3 linked regions of the Drosophila melanogaster genome follow. The protein of the gene in region 1 interacts with the protein of each later gene in a pairwise test. Each region holds a gene or a part of one and is shown on either strand. Other genes may lie near its edges.

Region 1 (5,022 bases):
GGATGGAATCCTCACGCCCGATTCGGGATCCTGTTCCTTCTACGATGCCTCGTCTTTGGGCGTCGGTCGACATTCCTTTCTGGTCATCGGAAGCGCCTGTTTGGAGGAGAGCAACGGTGACCATACGGAGTCTACGGATGAGATTACGAGTAGCAGTTTGAGCAGCTCACGCAGCGACATCGATGCTCCCTTCCGTAGTAGAGCTTCGACGGACGGCACCCTGTTGTCCCGACCACGTAGATGGCGGTATCCACCGCCGGGATGCCTGCTGCCACACACGAATCGCGTGGAGCGACGGATGAGCATTTCCACCAGGGGCAGTAATGCCAGTTACTAGAGTGGAATTTTATGCAGGGTGGGTCGAGCTTAGTTAGTCAAAATATGTAGCGACAAATATATAATTATATAGCTAGATGTTATTGTCATGGAAAATGAAACATATTTTTCTGGGATTTCTGGTTTAAAAATTTACTAACTTATTAATTTATTTGCTAAAAATGCAAGAAATTGGTAGCATCGGCATACACACATATATTTCGTCAAATACAATTAAATAACTTAACAAAGAAAAAAAAACAGGAAGCTAGTCATCGTCGATTTTAAGCAGATATTCCTCGGCACGCAAGGCCAATTCGCGGATATTGCGCAGACAACCAGCGGCGGCCAACTGGAGCTCCTTGTTAGTGGATCCAATGCACTCCAGCAGGAAAGGAACAACTCCACTCTGAAGTAAAATAAAAGAATCTAAATGAGTTGCTAAGTGTGATTAGGTAGAAGAAATGTACCTGGTGCATGGTAATGCAGTTCTGCGGATCCATCGATAGCTTCTCCAGTGCCATGGCCGTGCTGCGGTGCACCAAGGGATTGTCGCTGGTCATGTAGGTGACAATCGGAGTGACAGTACGCAGACGTCCCAGTTCCTCCGTATTATTACCGAAGCAGGCACAGGCGGCCACGGCAGCTGCCAAGTTCATTCGAAGGAGGTCGTCGGTGGTCTGGACGAGATCGGCTAGCTTGTAGATGACTTTCAGATCGGTTAAGATGGCTAGATTGGTTTGATCCTGGGCAATTGTTGCAATGGCAGCACAAACGGCGGATAAGACCATGATATCCTTGGACTTTAGCAGACCCACCACCAGTTCCATGGCGCCAACCAAGCTCCTGACCAATTCAGCGGAATCGTTGGCATTTCGAACACAGGGACATATGGCGTAAGCCGCATGGGCCTGAACCCTAGTTGTGGGGTTCTTCAATAGCGACCATATCAGCCTGACCGCATCCAGATCCTCAAGGATTCTCATGCTGTCCGGATCTTCGGCACACTCCTTCAATCCCTTGGCTAAATTTTCCAGAAGAGGGGCGTGAGAACTGTTGAGTAGGGAAACCATTGCTGGTAATCCTCCAGCCTGACGCAGTTGCTCCCTATTGCTTTGAAATCTCACACATTCAGATATAGCTCCGGTCACGTTGGTCAGGACCTCGTCACACTCATCATTTAGCAAGGCCACCAGGTGGTTCACCGTCCTGAGTTGATCCAGCACTTTGACATTTGCATCGGTTACGGCACACATCCAAATCGCTCCAGTGGCGCCTCTCAATAAAGGCTTATTTTCCCTCACATTCTTGTCCTTTATGATAGTTACCAAAGGTTCCAAGCCCCCAGCCTCCCTCACCAAATCCCTGGTGGTTCCGTCGAAGGCGCACTTGTAGATCGCTGTACTGCCCTCCATCTTCAGCTCGGTATTTTCGGAACTCAGATGGCTCACAATGTCGGGAATCATGCCCTCGGTGGTGATGGCCAGTTGGAACTTCGGCTCCGAGGAGCACTTTCGAACGGTGCCCATTATGGGAATGACGACATCGATGTGACAGGACTTAAGGAGCTGAGCCATCAAAGGAACAATTCCGCTCTTGCGCATCTGCTCCATGTTGTGCTTGGAATCGGCCAGAGTGAAAAGAGCCCGGGCTCCAGCGCGTGTCATATCGAGAGATTCCAGATCATCTGGACTCAATTGGTCACGAGGCGTCTTTAGAATGCTATAATATAATTAGGTTTTTTTTTAATTATTTCTTATATGTGGTGATGTAGTATGAAGCACTTTATCCAATGCCAACTCACCTCAACTTGATGTCGATGAGATCCACCAGCTTGGGGATTCCTCCGCAGGTGCGCACATACTTTCTGGCCAGTCGCACCTTGCACACATTGGCCAATGTCTCGGCGGCCATGGTTTTTAGGTCCTTCATGGAAGAGTTTAGGATGTCCACAATGAGGGGAATGCCATCCAGATCTACGATGGTCTTCCTAATATCGATGTTCAGTGTGATATCTGAGAGAACTTTGAGGGCGCCCAAACAGCACTTGGTGTCGCTGCACTCCAGGATGTTAACCAAGACATCGAGTCCGCCGATGTCCGAGATGGCGAACTGATTGATCTGGGTGCTCAGATCGTAGTCCTTCAAGCAGCACAACGATACTATAGTGGCTGTCTGATTGCCCGCCTTGATGTATTTCACCAGTTTTTGGATATTATAATAGTCAGCCGGAATCTCAGCGGCTCGCGCCACTTCCTTCCAGCGTTCCTCCTCATCCGTAGACGATTCCACCTCCGTGGTATCCGAGTCCTCGGCGGCCACCTGGCGCTTATCCTTTGAGAATCTGTTGGGACAGGATCCGCACTGTTCTTTCTTCTTTCGACTCCGATTGTGGGACGTTCCGCTGCTAGTGCCAATCATCCTTTCGCGTTGGATTACTCACAGATTTGGCCAATCGTATTCCGGAAATATCTGTCGGTATGCCAGCTTTCTTCAGTTTTGTATCGGAATTTATTGTGTTTTTGTGTGGGAGAACTTTATTAGGCCAGGCAATTGATTTAATAAGGCGTGTTGCTAAGGTAACTGAGATAATTTCAAAAATACCGGGCTAGGGCAAAGGTATCTTAGCTCAAACTTGTAAGTTTTTTTTTATTTTAATAAATTTTTAACTACAGCTATCCAAGGCATTTAAAATTTATTTTATTCGCTTGGCCTTCGTTGAATTCGCTTAGCGGTTAAAATTAACCGTTTAGCAAATACATCGACCTGACTTAGCACAGACAATAACCATTCATAGTGCAGACGACCACCGCGAAATTTACCCGTTTCCGAAACTATCGAGGGTATCGCAGGGAAATCGACTGCCATTCCATCACCAGCTTGTGTTGTTTGTTTTTTATTTTCAATTAAAATCCGCGATCATCCGCAGCTGCAGCTGCATTGTTTGTTTACCAGCCGTCGTAGCACCAGCCAACTGAATTTCGTGTCCTGAGATGGGAAATGCGAGTGGCAAGCGGGAGACGGATAATCTCTACAATTCGGAAGAGCTACGCATGCTGGAATCCGCGTACAAAAACGCCTCTGGCGGAGCACTTGAGAAGTTGACCCAAGACAGATTGGTGGTAAGTCAAGTAAATCCAGTTACCGTGCCACGTGTGCACTGCGAAAATCAATGGCAACTGCATTCTGCATTTGCGGAAGGGTCAGGGTCACAAGTTCAAGGACGCGCGGAGTGAACTTTCTTCGGCAAAAAAAGAGAAATCGGGACTTTCGAGTGCATGACAAACGGCCGTCCATCCACCTGCTGCGATGGCCACCCTTCACTTGAATGGGTATATCCTTTAGGGCATTAATTTGTTGTTGTCACTAACTCCTATTTCGAGGATTAAACATTGAAGTTAATCATAGTACTATGTTCCGAAAAAGAAGCTTAGTTATATAAGAGAGTGAGTCGCAACATTATCCGGCATTATACAAAAGTTCAAAGTTTCTAAACCTTATTTTAATACAGTTCTTTTTCGATTTAAAGTGCAAACCAGGAAATTTAACAGAGTTTATAAAAAGTAAATTATTCAACTTGTTTAAAAATGTAATTTTCTAAACTAGTCAGTCCTATTTAGATTAAATGTACACGTAACTTTCCAAAATTGTTATTTTAACCCATTTAGTTAAATCAATCTGATCATACACAATTTATGCTATAATTTTTCCGATGCGGGTTCAAGGCCCCAGATTTGTGTTTTATTTTTATCACAGCACAGATGACGGAAATGCAACCACTCAAAAAATGTTTGTTTGTAACCAGATGATGATTTTTCCTTATAATATTTCCATCTATTTATAGCTCGTGTTTGATTATCACAGCGCTTCCTAGGGTATAGCAAAATTCGATATCTTCAACTCGGGCGTTATCAGTTTCGAATTGATAATTCCTGGGCCAGTGCGAACGTGTCCATAATTTGTCTAATTTGTTTGCTGCCGCATTTCACTGTTTGTCTTTTGCTTTGTTGAATTTGCTTGCTAACGAATTAGTCGTGATTTCAATGACTGGGGTCGTCAATTAGGGCCAAACCCAATTGAATTAAAAATAAACCATATGCTTAACCCGTTTACAGCATGGCATGTGAAATAGTTGATTTTTAGAATGAGGAAATTATAAGACTTGCATTCATATAGAGTAATTTAAGCGGAAACTCTCTAAATTGAAACTTTACATACATTGAAGTAGTATTTATTTTCATAAAACTTGAGAGACTTTGTTTTCAGTCAAACCAAATTATTATTCATTGTACGTCCTTCAATGGGTTAATCTGTGTCAGCGCTTCCCAGACCTTCGTTCCCTGCAAGAATTTGCTGACAGCAGCGGGAAAATTATGTTTACGTATCCGGCGCGCATTTTGTTTATGTACACACATATACATGTATCTGTTGTTTTGTTTCGAAAATAGGAAACTTGGTCGCAAACCATCGAAAGATCCCTGGCCGAAAGTACGGCTCAGTATCTATTTACGCCCACGAAGCCAGGTCAGCAATGTGTCAACCTTCAGCTGAAGAAATTTGGAGAGCCCTACTACATCATGGAACGCGGTACTATTGACCAGAAAATGCAAATGCTCCTGGGCTCAATGGAGAGAAGTGGAAATGACACCTTCAACAGCAAGCAATTGGAGCAAGTGAGTCTATAAATAAGTAGTCATTGTCATCAGA
Region 2 (6,058 bases), on another chromosome or scaffold:
CTCACATATCCCAATCCGGTCGATCCGCTCAATCGGGATGCGGCCGCATTGTACCTGCACGAGCCGGAGGAGTATCATCGCAAGGTGGCCGACTATGTGCAGCGCTATGCCACCGAGGACGCGTTGCGGGCGGCGCAGCAGGAGCGGGAGAGCAGCGACAGCGAGTCGAGCATGTCCGACTACAGTGAGGATGAGGCCAGGGACATGGAATTATAATATCGGTTGGACCGCCAGCCTACGGAACTACCGCTAACACTAACACTGACAACAGCCTAATACAAATGCTTCGAGAATCCATTTTCCTGCCACCCAATTTCCCCAAACAAACACACTCACTTATACTTTCACCATACCCCTTCAGTTGGCGATGGAACAAAAAGCAACAATATATATATATATATATCTATATATATATATACATAATTGATAAATGATAATTGGATTTTAAGATAGAAAGTGATTCGATGATGGCGTGTGATGATCAGCGCACACACGCAGATACATATAAATATATACATAATATATATATATATATACACTAATGTAAGCAGAAAGAAAAACAAGATTTAAAAACTCTTAGTTTAGCCATCAGTAGCTGATAACAAAACGGATTGGAGCAACGATCGCAACAGATCATAGCAGATATATAGACCACAGTAACAAAAAAAAAATGGAACGGATGGAAGAGCAAAATAGAAACAAACAGAATAGAAACACAAACAAACAAACAAACAAAACCGATAAAATACAGATAGCAGAGATAAAAGCATAGATGCAAGCGCAATTTAAATGGTTATAGTAAGTGCACATGCAATGCGAAATTTGACGAGAAATTGCTTTGGCCTTGATCTGGCATTAAACAGACTTCGATGCTCGTCGTTCTTTAGAGTTTAACAAGTTGATAGAAAACGTAAACACAAATACCACCATCAAACATAAGTTTTTGGAATGCCCTCACCACATATAAATACCACACGACGATAACCCAATTATCCAATTTGCAATCCAGAGGAACGGAAACCTTAGAACGATCGATCGATCAGCAAAACTGCGGATTATTATTTGTTCTTATGTAATAGTGTGTACTTTATATGTTTGTCTTGTTTTTGTTCCGTTTAATTGTAAGCGCGAATTTTTTTTTATTGTCTGTATATGTGTATTAAGATATTTGGAAACCGCAGAAAATCATCAGACTTAGCAGCACTTTCTCTGCCGAAAAGTAAAAAAAATATATATCAAAAGGTGAATACGATCGATACTAAATGAAATGAAATAGAAAGCCAAGACAAATCCTAGAGGAAAGGCATGGAGGCGATTGCGTGGAACAGACGGAATAATCGTTGCAGTTCTTTTTCTTGTTAATTAATCTTATTATACGGTTATTATGTAATATTTTAAAATAGGATTCGAATTGATCGTGTAATTAAATGCAATAATTCTTATGTCTAACTTATGTCACCCGTGTTTAAGCCAAAAGCATATATTTTTTTATTATAATACATTTTGTCTTTACACCACATTTACTACATGATTTATTGTTCTCTCTCTCTCTCTCTCTCTCTCTTAGTCATCTCTCTCCCTCGTTCTCGCTTTTTAAAATTGTTAATCAAATTGGAGAAATGGAGAATTGGAGAACATCCGGTGGGTTGGAATTTTGATGAGGATGTGATTTTTAGAAGGCGGGTTCTTAAGTGAAATCAAATGAAAGTGCAGATATATAGACATTAGCGATCTACTGTACTATGTACTAACACTATAACAATACTTATGCCTAAGTCTAACAGCAGAATTAATGAGTAATCTGATAGTTGTATATAAGTGACACACACACACACACTCAACATACATATATAAATATATATATATATATATATGCCGATATCTATCAGGATACACAATAATTAAAACGTAATTCAAGCAATCGAAGTCAGATGGAAATAAAACCCCATGGACGAGAGTGGGACAAAAAATGAGTAAAAATAGTAAAGAAATATAAAAAAAAAAAATTAAAAAAAAACATGTTACAAACAAGTGAAATCTAACAAATAAAAAAAGGAAACAAAAGAAAAGAAAAGAAAGTTACGCCCGTTTCTTGGCCTTGTTTTGTCAATAGTTGTTGGTTCTTCGCCTGGCACCGCCCCATATATCCTCCAATGGGCCAAGCTTTCTCCTTGGCTTCTTGGCTCCACTGCTCCCTACCTAGTCCAACTGACAATGCCTGCGGGTTTGTCAACGCCTTGGAAACTGATGGAAAGTGCCACGTTTGTTGATTCCTTCAGCGCCTTTTTACCTTTTGTTGTGGCCCAAGGGCCGAGGGACACGGTTTAACGCTCCTGCGTGGAGTTAATCGGGCAATCAAAACAACAACAACAACAACAACAGCAGCAGCAGCTAAAGCGCCCAGAAGCCAGCGAAACATGGGTATCTACTTTAAAGATCTATCAAACAAAAACCAACAACATTCCGTGTCTCTCTCTCTCTGTGAGTGTGTGTGTGTGTACTCGTCGCTTTTGTGTCTGTGTGTGTGTGGAGTAATTACTCCTGGCGTTTCGACAATTGCCATAGCATACTTTGCAGCGCGCCCCCAACAAAGTGCCCCATTCTGCGAAATAGTTGAACGCAAGTTGTTTGTCGGCACTGCAGGCGAAATTCCATTTGAGGTTTAAAAAAAAAACAAAATAACGGTGGAGTGAGTGGGATGTCTCCTCAAAAGGTCCTCAAGTCCATTGAAATTCCACGAATGAGGCTATAAAATGGGTGGCCCGTCCACAGGCACGTCCATCTGTGATGTAATCCTTGCATATTTACATACATTGCGTCCACATGGAAAAGCCGATATTTTCCTACCAACTGGCCTGCAATGCAATGTATCAGTAAAAATCAATAGAAAATATTTATTTATGCAATGCCTTAAGAACGGTGTCAGTTTTTTTTGTATACATATACCAGCAATTCGATTCATAACATAACCCATTGTATATGGTTTATGGGCTCACTTATTATTCATCTCCAGTTTCTGATTGATTTAAAAATGAGTTTCAAATTACTTCTCAATAGAATCCGTGTCCATGCCCGGAGTAGATGATGCCTTCGCTTGGCTTGCAAATCGCGACTGAGGCATTTCTAGGGATTGGCCAAAAGAACAGGCGAGGAACAAGCTCGTCCAGAAGGTCCTTTGTCATATGTAATTGGGGATATATGTTGCAGTTATTTGAGCGGAGGCGTCGGGTGCAACCCGTTGATGGACTGCCAGGTCCAAAGATGTTTGATTTAGTTGCCCCATCAGAGGTGGTCGCTCAAGTTTGGGTGTGGGTTTGGGTTTGGGCTTGATCCCATGTTGCAGGTTTTGTGTGGCAACCGGGCAACCGATATCAACAAATTACACGAAACTGTATGCCGTACATACATGGTATCGGGGGTCTAGACAAACGGTTCTCGGTGGCCCGAACCCAACACGCTTCCCCGTTTCCACATCCACTTTCATTGCCATTCCCAAAAACTCAGTTCCCCCCCTCCCCAAGTGGAGCAAATGAAAATGCTAATAAAATTATAGTGTCTGGGGCGCAGATGGATAGACATAGACATAGACAGACGGGACCCCATATGTTGCTCCTTCACTTATATGGGTAATCACAAGATAATAACATTTTTTCTCAAAGGAGACACGAAACAACAAAGCGGAGAAGGGAGGACTTCGGTGGCAGAGTAGATTGAAATCAAAGTGAGCAGAACAGTAAATGAGTGCACTTAGACAAAAAAGAAGTATCAATCAGTATCACTGAATGGGATTGTGTACATATAATATCTATAATATTAGTCCAATCGTTATGAATTTATGTGAGATATGGTAAGATACTTTGGATTGTAAATCTCATAAGCATATGAGGTTTGTATACCAGATGGGGTGCAGTTAAGTTCTCAGCTTTTGGTTTCGCTCAGTGTATTTCGAATCGAAATAGCCGGCTAAAACAATTTATGAGCCGAATGTGAACGCTATTACCCATTTGAATGGGCCGCGAATGGGGTGAATGGGGGTATGGGAATGGTTTTGATTCTGGCGAGGCGCATTTGCATTTCAGGCCTTTTGTTTGCTCTGCTCCACATCCACACACTTGAAGGGCCTTTGCTGGCTAAGCTCGCCAAGGAGGAGGAGTTTATTTCGGCGCCAGGAGTTTTGGGGGTGAGCGTGTCGACTTTGACACATAAAGCAGCAGCAGGCCAACACAAAGACAGAGACACGCACCCATGTAAAGCTGAACCTTATTTTTTTTTTGGGTTGCAGGAAAGGCGGGCGCTGGCAAGGGTCGTTCGCCAACACCGACACCCAATCGGGATGGCGGGGCAACGGCTGGTGCTGGCAGTGGTGGAGGCGGTGGTGGTGGTGGTGGTGGTGTTGCAGCGGCACCCACAGCAACTGGCGGCACCACTGGCGTTGGTAGATCCACACTACATGCCAACAAAACGATACTGAAAACGGTATCCGTGTTCCTTGCCAGCGGCAAGCGCAACTCGAGCAACCAACAGTCGAAGGCCGCCGCGGCTGCTTTGCAGAACAAACGGCAACAGCGGCAACGGAGGATGGATGAGTTGAGCGGCAAAGTGAATCCCAAGCTGTTGGACAGCCTGCGAAAGAAGACGCGGTTTACGAAGTGAGTGAATTACATACAAACATACATACATAATTTGGAGTACGATGATGAACTGTATGTGCCACTTGGCGCCCGAATAGGGACGAGCTGGATGCGTTGTGCCGCATCTATCGCAAGCTGGTATCAAATTGTCAATATGCGGCCAAGACGCTGGCCTCCAGCTCCTCGAGCGCAGCTATTGCCAAGCCACATGCTGCCGTGGAGGTAACTATGAACAGATCCTGTCAAGAAATGGTGTTTCAGCGCCACTCTTCGTAGGGCATCGATCGCATTGTGTTCCGCGAGCTGTTGCACAGCACTTTCGACATCGTCACCGAGGAGATCCTGATGGAGCGCATCTTCTGCAGCTGGGACAAGGCCCACGAGGGTTTGCCCCTTCGCCTCGAGGGCTGGCTCATTGGACTTTCAACATTCCTGCGCGGCACGCCGGCGGAACGGGCGGCTTTTTGCTTCCGGGTTTACGACCTGAACACGGATGGCTTCATCACCAAGGATGAAATGTTTACGCTGCTGCGAAATTGCCTGATAAAACAACCGCAGGACGAAGATCCCGACGAGGGCGTCAAGGATCTGGTGGAGATTGTGCTCAAGAAGTTCGACCTGGACAAGGACGGCAAGGTGAATGGATTGGTGGTGGTATAATTCCTTACAGATATAATGATTTGGTTTTCAGGTCTCCCTGGAGGATTTTATGGGCACGGTCACCGCGGAACCATTGCTAATCGAGGCATTTGGCCAGTGTCTGCCCACAGATAGCGCTGTGGTTTCCTTCTTCTCCACGCTGCAGGTGTGATCAGCATCCAAATATCTTTGAATTTGTTATATTAATGTAATTAATAAAATTTTAATCAATAATTTATGCATAATATACATATATTTCGGTCTTTAATGGTGCAGTACATTAGTACATTTATCATCAGACGTTTAGTTATGAATGCCAATACTTTGCACGATCGATAGCGTGGAACTTGTTTATGCATCCCACCTGAACTGGTGATCCCTACAAATAGCCAGACTTAAAGCGGGTCCGATTCGCGAATGCTGTTAAGACTAATTGCGTTGGCTAGTTGACTTAGTGGTGACCCCGACCCACGACAGGGGTGCAATTTGCAGTCGCAAATCTGTAATTGGCACGTATCCACATTGGGATCATTCCCCAGATGAAGGTGCGAATTGAGATGGATGCCGCGGATGAGTCGCCAAGGCGTCATATTTATGCAAGCCTCGGGTGAAACAATAAGCCAGTCAGTTAGACAGTCAGCCAGTCAGTCAATCAGTCAGTTAGTCAGTTAGTCAGTTAGTCAGCTAGTCAGCTAGTCAACCGGTCTGGTTATGCGAGCTAATTTATTCGATTAGCCAGTCGCATCCACAGCAGAACAACTATAGCCGCATAGATACAGATACACAAG
Region 3 (4,096 bases), on another chromosome or scaffold:
CATATAATGGCTATATTTACAGCTCGCTGTCTTGCACTCCGATTGCATTCCGAATCGCTGTATTTAATGTTATATATACTCGAATATATTGGGCCACTCTGGAGGAGAACTCCTGGCAATATCCGCACTTCGCATGGAATCTATGTTACTACCTGTTTGTTTGTTTCGATAGTTTCTAGCCGGAATCAAACTGAATTTAAAGTAAACAAATAAGTTCCACATAGCTAAAGCCCAAACTACCCCACTCCGGTACTCTCTTTTTTTTTTTTTTACTTACTGGCCAGACGTACTCAACCCAATTGCACCGGATTTGCCGAGGGCGAAGAATGAATATAATGAAGTATATGGGCGACAAAGTATTACACTAATCTGCATAAATGTAATGTTTAAATAAATTATAGCCGTACTAGTCAAATTATGAAGTAAAGTTATAAAAACTGAAGAAGCAATAGAACTCTGTAAAAGATTCCGATTCGAGCGACACACCCAAACACATGTATCCATTGTTATTGAACAACTATTGAGATAAATTACATATTATTCCACATTGTTAAACTATCGTTGTATTCCGTCAATTTGAGGCTACATCCGGATTTCTGTTTCAGTTGACTACAAATATATATCAATGTAATTGAGAAATTCCAATTGCTCTGTTCAAAAGTTGAAGTTACGCCTAAGATTAACCAAGTAGCATACTACAAAATAAAAAAGTTGGACCGTCGTAGTCGCTGCTCCAAGTGAATATTCGCAAAATGCATTGGAAGTTAATAAAACTCAATACAAGAGTCAAGTAAAATTACCTGAGAGTTTTCGTAATTAATTGATTTATTTATTCAATACCAGCTTATCAAGCCAACTCAATTCAAACAGAAACTTAACACCGGGAGCTGAACAAGTCAGTAGTATTGGGCAGCTGGATGGACTAGAACCATTTGGGCAGAGCGTCATGGGGCAGGTTCTTATGGTTGGGCAGCGCCGTGCAGGGACGCTGTTGGCGCCAGAACTCCTGCCGTTTGTTGAGAAACTCCACCGCCTCGCGGGCGTACGCGGAGATGCTCTCCGTGTGTGTGTCCGCGCGGACCAAATCCGGATGGAGCAGCAACTTCTCCAAGTACTCCTTGTCCACGCACAGTTCGCCCAGCAGCTTGCGGGCGTTGCGTCGTTCCAGATCCGCTCGACTGGGTTTCTGCCGCGTCCTGGCACTGGTCCCCGTTGCTCCCGCTGCCTGGGATTTAGGTGTATCCTCGCCGGACTTCCGTGACTTTCCGCTCTTGGGAACAGATGCTGTTGGTCCTGGTGGACCCGGCTTGCTGCCGATGGTGTTCTCGATGGCCTCCTGCGTTTTCTGAACGCCCAGGCGAAACAAAGCCAGTTCCGGACGAGCCCTCAGACCGCGATGGAAGAACATCAGGCTCTGCTCGAACTGACCGAGGTAGTACAGCGACTCAGCCTTCTGGTAGATGGCCCGAATGTTGTTCTTGTCCTCTCCAAGAGCCGTCTCCGCATCCTGCAGTGCCTTGGAAGCCTCGCCCAGCAACAAGTAGCACTTGCTACGCGAAATCAAAGCATTGATGTCGGTGCTATTCAGCTCAAGAGCCTGAAATTTTAAGGTTTTGTTAGCTAGTTTTTAATATGTTATGGCAGATCTTAGAAAACTAAACGGGACTTAACAGCGGTATAGATTCTATTAAAAAGAGAAAACCTGCTTAACTAGATGACTCTGAAATCTGAACAGTTCCAATAATGAAACCAGGAGCACCTTGCAAAAAAAGTGTATGGCGTTCTCGGGATTGGCATTCTTGATCTCCTTGAGCCCCAGTGCGATCACCGAACTGATGTCCGCCTCGTCCGGGATGAGCAGTGCCTCGTTGCGGTCCTGCTTCTGCTTGATCTGGAGACTCTGCTTGATGTCAAATGCACCAGCGCTGACCGCTGCCGCCCGATCTTTGTCCGTGTAGAAGTCGACGAAGTTCTCCTTGGGCTTCTTCTTCTTGGCGATCTGCTCCTCGATCTTTTTGCGTGCCGCCCTAAGTTCGGCCTCAATGCGATTGCCCCGCTTGCCGCCCGCAGCGTCGCCTCCTGCTCCTCCCCCAGCTCCTCCGTCATCCCCCTGCTTTCCATCCCGTCCAGCACCGCGTCCGCCCCGATCAGTGGACTCGCGCCTCTCCCAGATGGGAGGCTTGTGGGAGCGACCCTTGGACCGCCGATTGGTCTCATCCTGTGACTCCTCCTCAGCCGCTGCTCCGGTGCGTATGAAGCTTTGCAGCAGTTCCTGCTCCTTGTCCACAGCAAGAATGGTGTTCAGCACGTTCGACATATCCTTATAATACCCTTGGCAATCGCTGGGAAGAATCTTCAACGTCCGACGATTGGAGTAATCCAAAAAACTCAACTTCTGACCAAATCACTAGCCAATTGATTGGCGCTATAATGGGTTGTTGCCAGGAAACTGGCGCCACCAAATGGGTTAGCAATCGATAACAAAACAACCACTCGTGCTGTGCCAGGTGCTACATATCAGGTGTCAGGCACCAGGTGTCGTGTCGTTTGGCGGTGTGAATGCCAAGAACAATGGCCTCCATGTGGGTCACGACCTTGGGGACGCCCTATTAGAAGGTGAGAATGCATATCCACTCCGATCTATCCTCTTTTCTCAGTGGTCCTCGAGATTATCATATTTTAAACTAATTTTTTGGTTAATGCTTAAGGAATCGAGTTGGGATTTTGTTAACCATGACTGGCTTACGGGGCGTATGAGTAACTTTCTTGATATGTTTTGAGGGGGACTTTAATTTCCTTAAAATTACGCATATTAAAGTAGCTCCTTTATAACACTAAAACTATCAACGGTATCTTTTCTCAATACGTTTTTTGTTTGCTAGCATAGAGGAATAAATTGGCATACGTGTCGTATGAGTAATATAAAAAAATGTAACAAAAAAACCTTAATGTAAACTAAAACTTATCATTAAACACTTGAACAATCTTGGCTATAAAAAAAGCCTTTCTATAGTGTTTCTATATGGTGTTACTCTACAGGTGCTTGTTCAACTACGTTAAGAATGTCAAACTGTGCTCCTTTGTTGTGAACTAAAACCTGTGCGAAGCTTTCAGGAGCTTTTAGCGGATGTCCTTTCCCGCTAAGTGATTATCCTTCTTCACGAACAAAGCATTAAATGCTTAAAAGTGAAAATGAAACACATAAAATATCACCGCCTTCGTTTTTATGTACTTTTCGAAAATTATGAAATTAAATAAAAGTACATAGATTACTTTTATCTTAATTACATATTTTTTAAATGCGATAAAACCCGTTTCAAATATCCTCAACTGTGTCTAATTTAAATGATTCACTTTGTGTAAAGTTTATCAAACATTATTTATAGTGCAATTCGGAGATGGTATTCCCAATTGCACTTTATTATTTGATGGAAATAATTCTGCCTAGTCTTAACTGTGGCTAGTAAGTTTCCCAACACACCTGGTTGTATCCAAACAAAGCCTTCTCGTAGGCCCGAACCTTCATGTGGTTATTGGATTGATCGCATAGCAGTTTAATATTGGTCTCGATCTCCTCGAGAGTATCGACCTTCGGTTTCTTGCGCGGCATTTTAAATTCGGTATTGTTAAGTAGTTATAGTGGCTTATTGAGATGGTGTATCGTAGTAGTTTCACATTTTTCACCCTTCAAGCCTGTGACTTCTTCACTCCGTAGTCTAAAATTGACGTCTGAACGCGACGGTTGTCGTTGAGCAACTGAATTATGTGCCTTCACTTTGCATTTGACCCAACTTGGCTCGCTTCTAGACCCCCAATCCATGGAAAAGGCACCCCATCACAAGCTGCAACTCAGGGGTTCCGGCTTTTCTTTACTTTGTATACCAGTTTACATGCGCTGACAAGCAGCAATAAACTTCAATAAAGTTTCATTAATATCTCAACAAACCCTTCTGAGCATTCTGAAAAGCCACAATATCCTTTGGATACCACAAAATATTAGTTTTTGTTATGAAACATCTACTAGCTGATTCATTTTGTCATCAGCTGTGACTTTAATAACAGAAAATTATTTGTTTATGGTGATTAGATCACATAA

The links.
Region 2: the proteins of gudu (region 1) and CG2256 interact in a two-hybrid assay, tested with the Drosophila melanogaster proteins (one large-scale study listed by BioGRID).
Region 3: the proteins of gudu (region 1) and CG13502 interact in a two-hybrid assay, tested with the Drosophila melanogaster proteins (one large-scale study listed by BioGRID).

What each region holds. Positions count from the first base shown.
Region 1 is NT_033779.5:7,386,390-7,391,411, reverse strand, and holds gudu (gudu), read right to left. Parts: upstream 2,905-5,022; 5' UTR 2,737-2,904; coding exon 2,120-2,736; intron 2,038-2,119; coding exon 786-2,037; intron 725-785; coding exon 584-724; 3' UTR 510-583; downstream 1-509. Other genes in the region: CG5160 (uncharacterized protein), read left to right, coding at 1-337; CG5149 (uncharacterized protein), read left to right, coding at 3,309-3,437, 4,764-4,988. UniProt on the Drosophila melanogaster protein: Important for spermatogenesis where it may have a role in sperm individualization.
Region 2 is NC_004354.4:8,083,467-8,089,524, reverse strand, and holds CG2256 (uncharacterized protein), read left to right. Parts: upstream 1-2,311; 5' UTR 2,312-2,417; coding exon 2,418-2,421; intron 2,422-3,759; exon of another isoform or gene 3,760-4,282; coding exon 4,283-4,649; intron 4,650-4,678; exon of another isoform or gene 4,679-4,729; coding exon 4,730-4,853; exon of another isoform or gene 4,854-4,907; coding exon 4,908-5,267; exon of another isoform or gene 5,268-5,269; intron 5,270-5,322; coding exon 5,323-5,442; 3' UTR 5,443-5,507; downstream 5,508-6,058. Other genes in the region: UbcE2H (ubiquitin conjugating enzyme E2H), read left to right, coding at 1-216.
Region 3 is NT_033778.4:22,084,970-22,089,065, forward strand, and holds CG13502 (uncharacterized protein), read right to left. Parts: upstream 2,453-4,096; 5' UTR 2,318-2,452; coding exon 1,760-2,317; intron 1,598-1,759; coding exon 923-1,597; 3' UTR 813-922; downstream 1-812.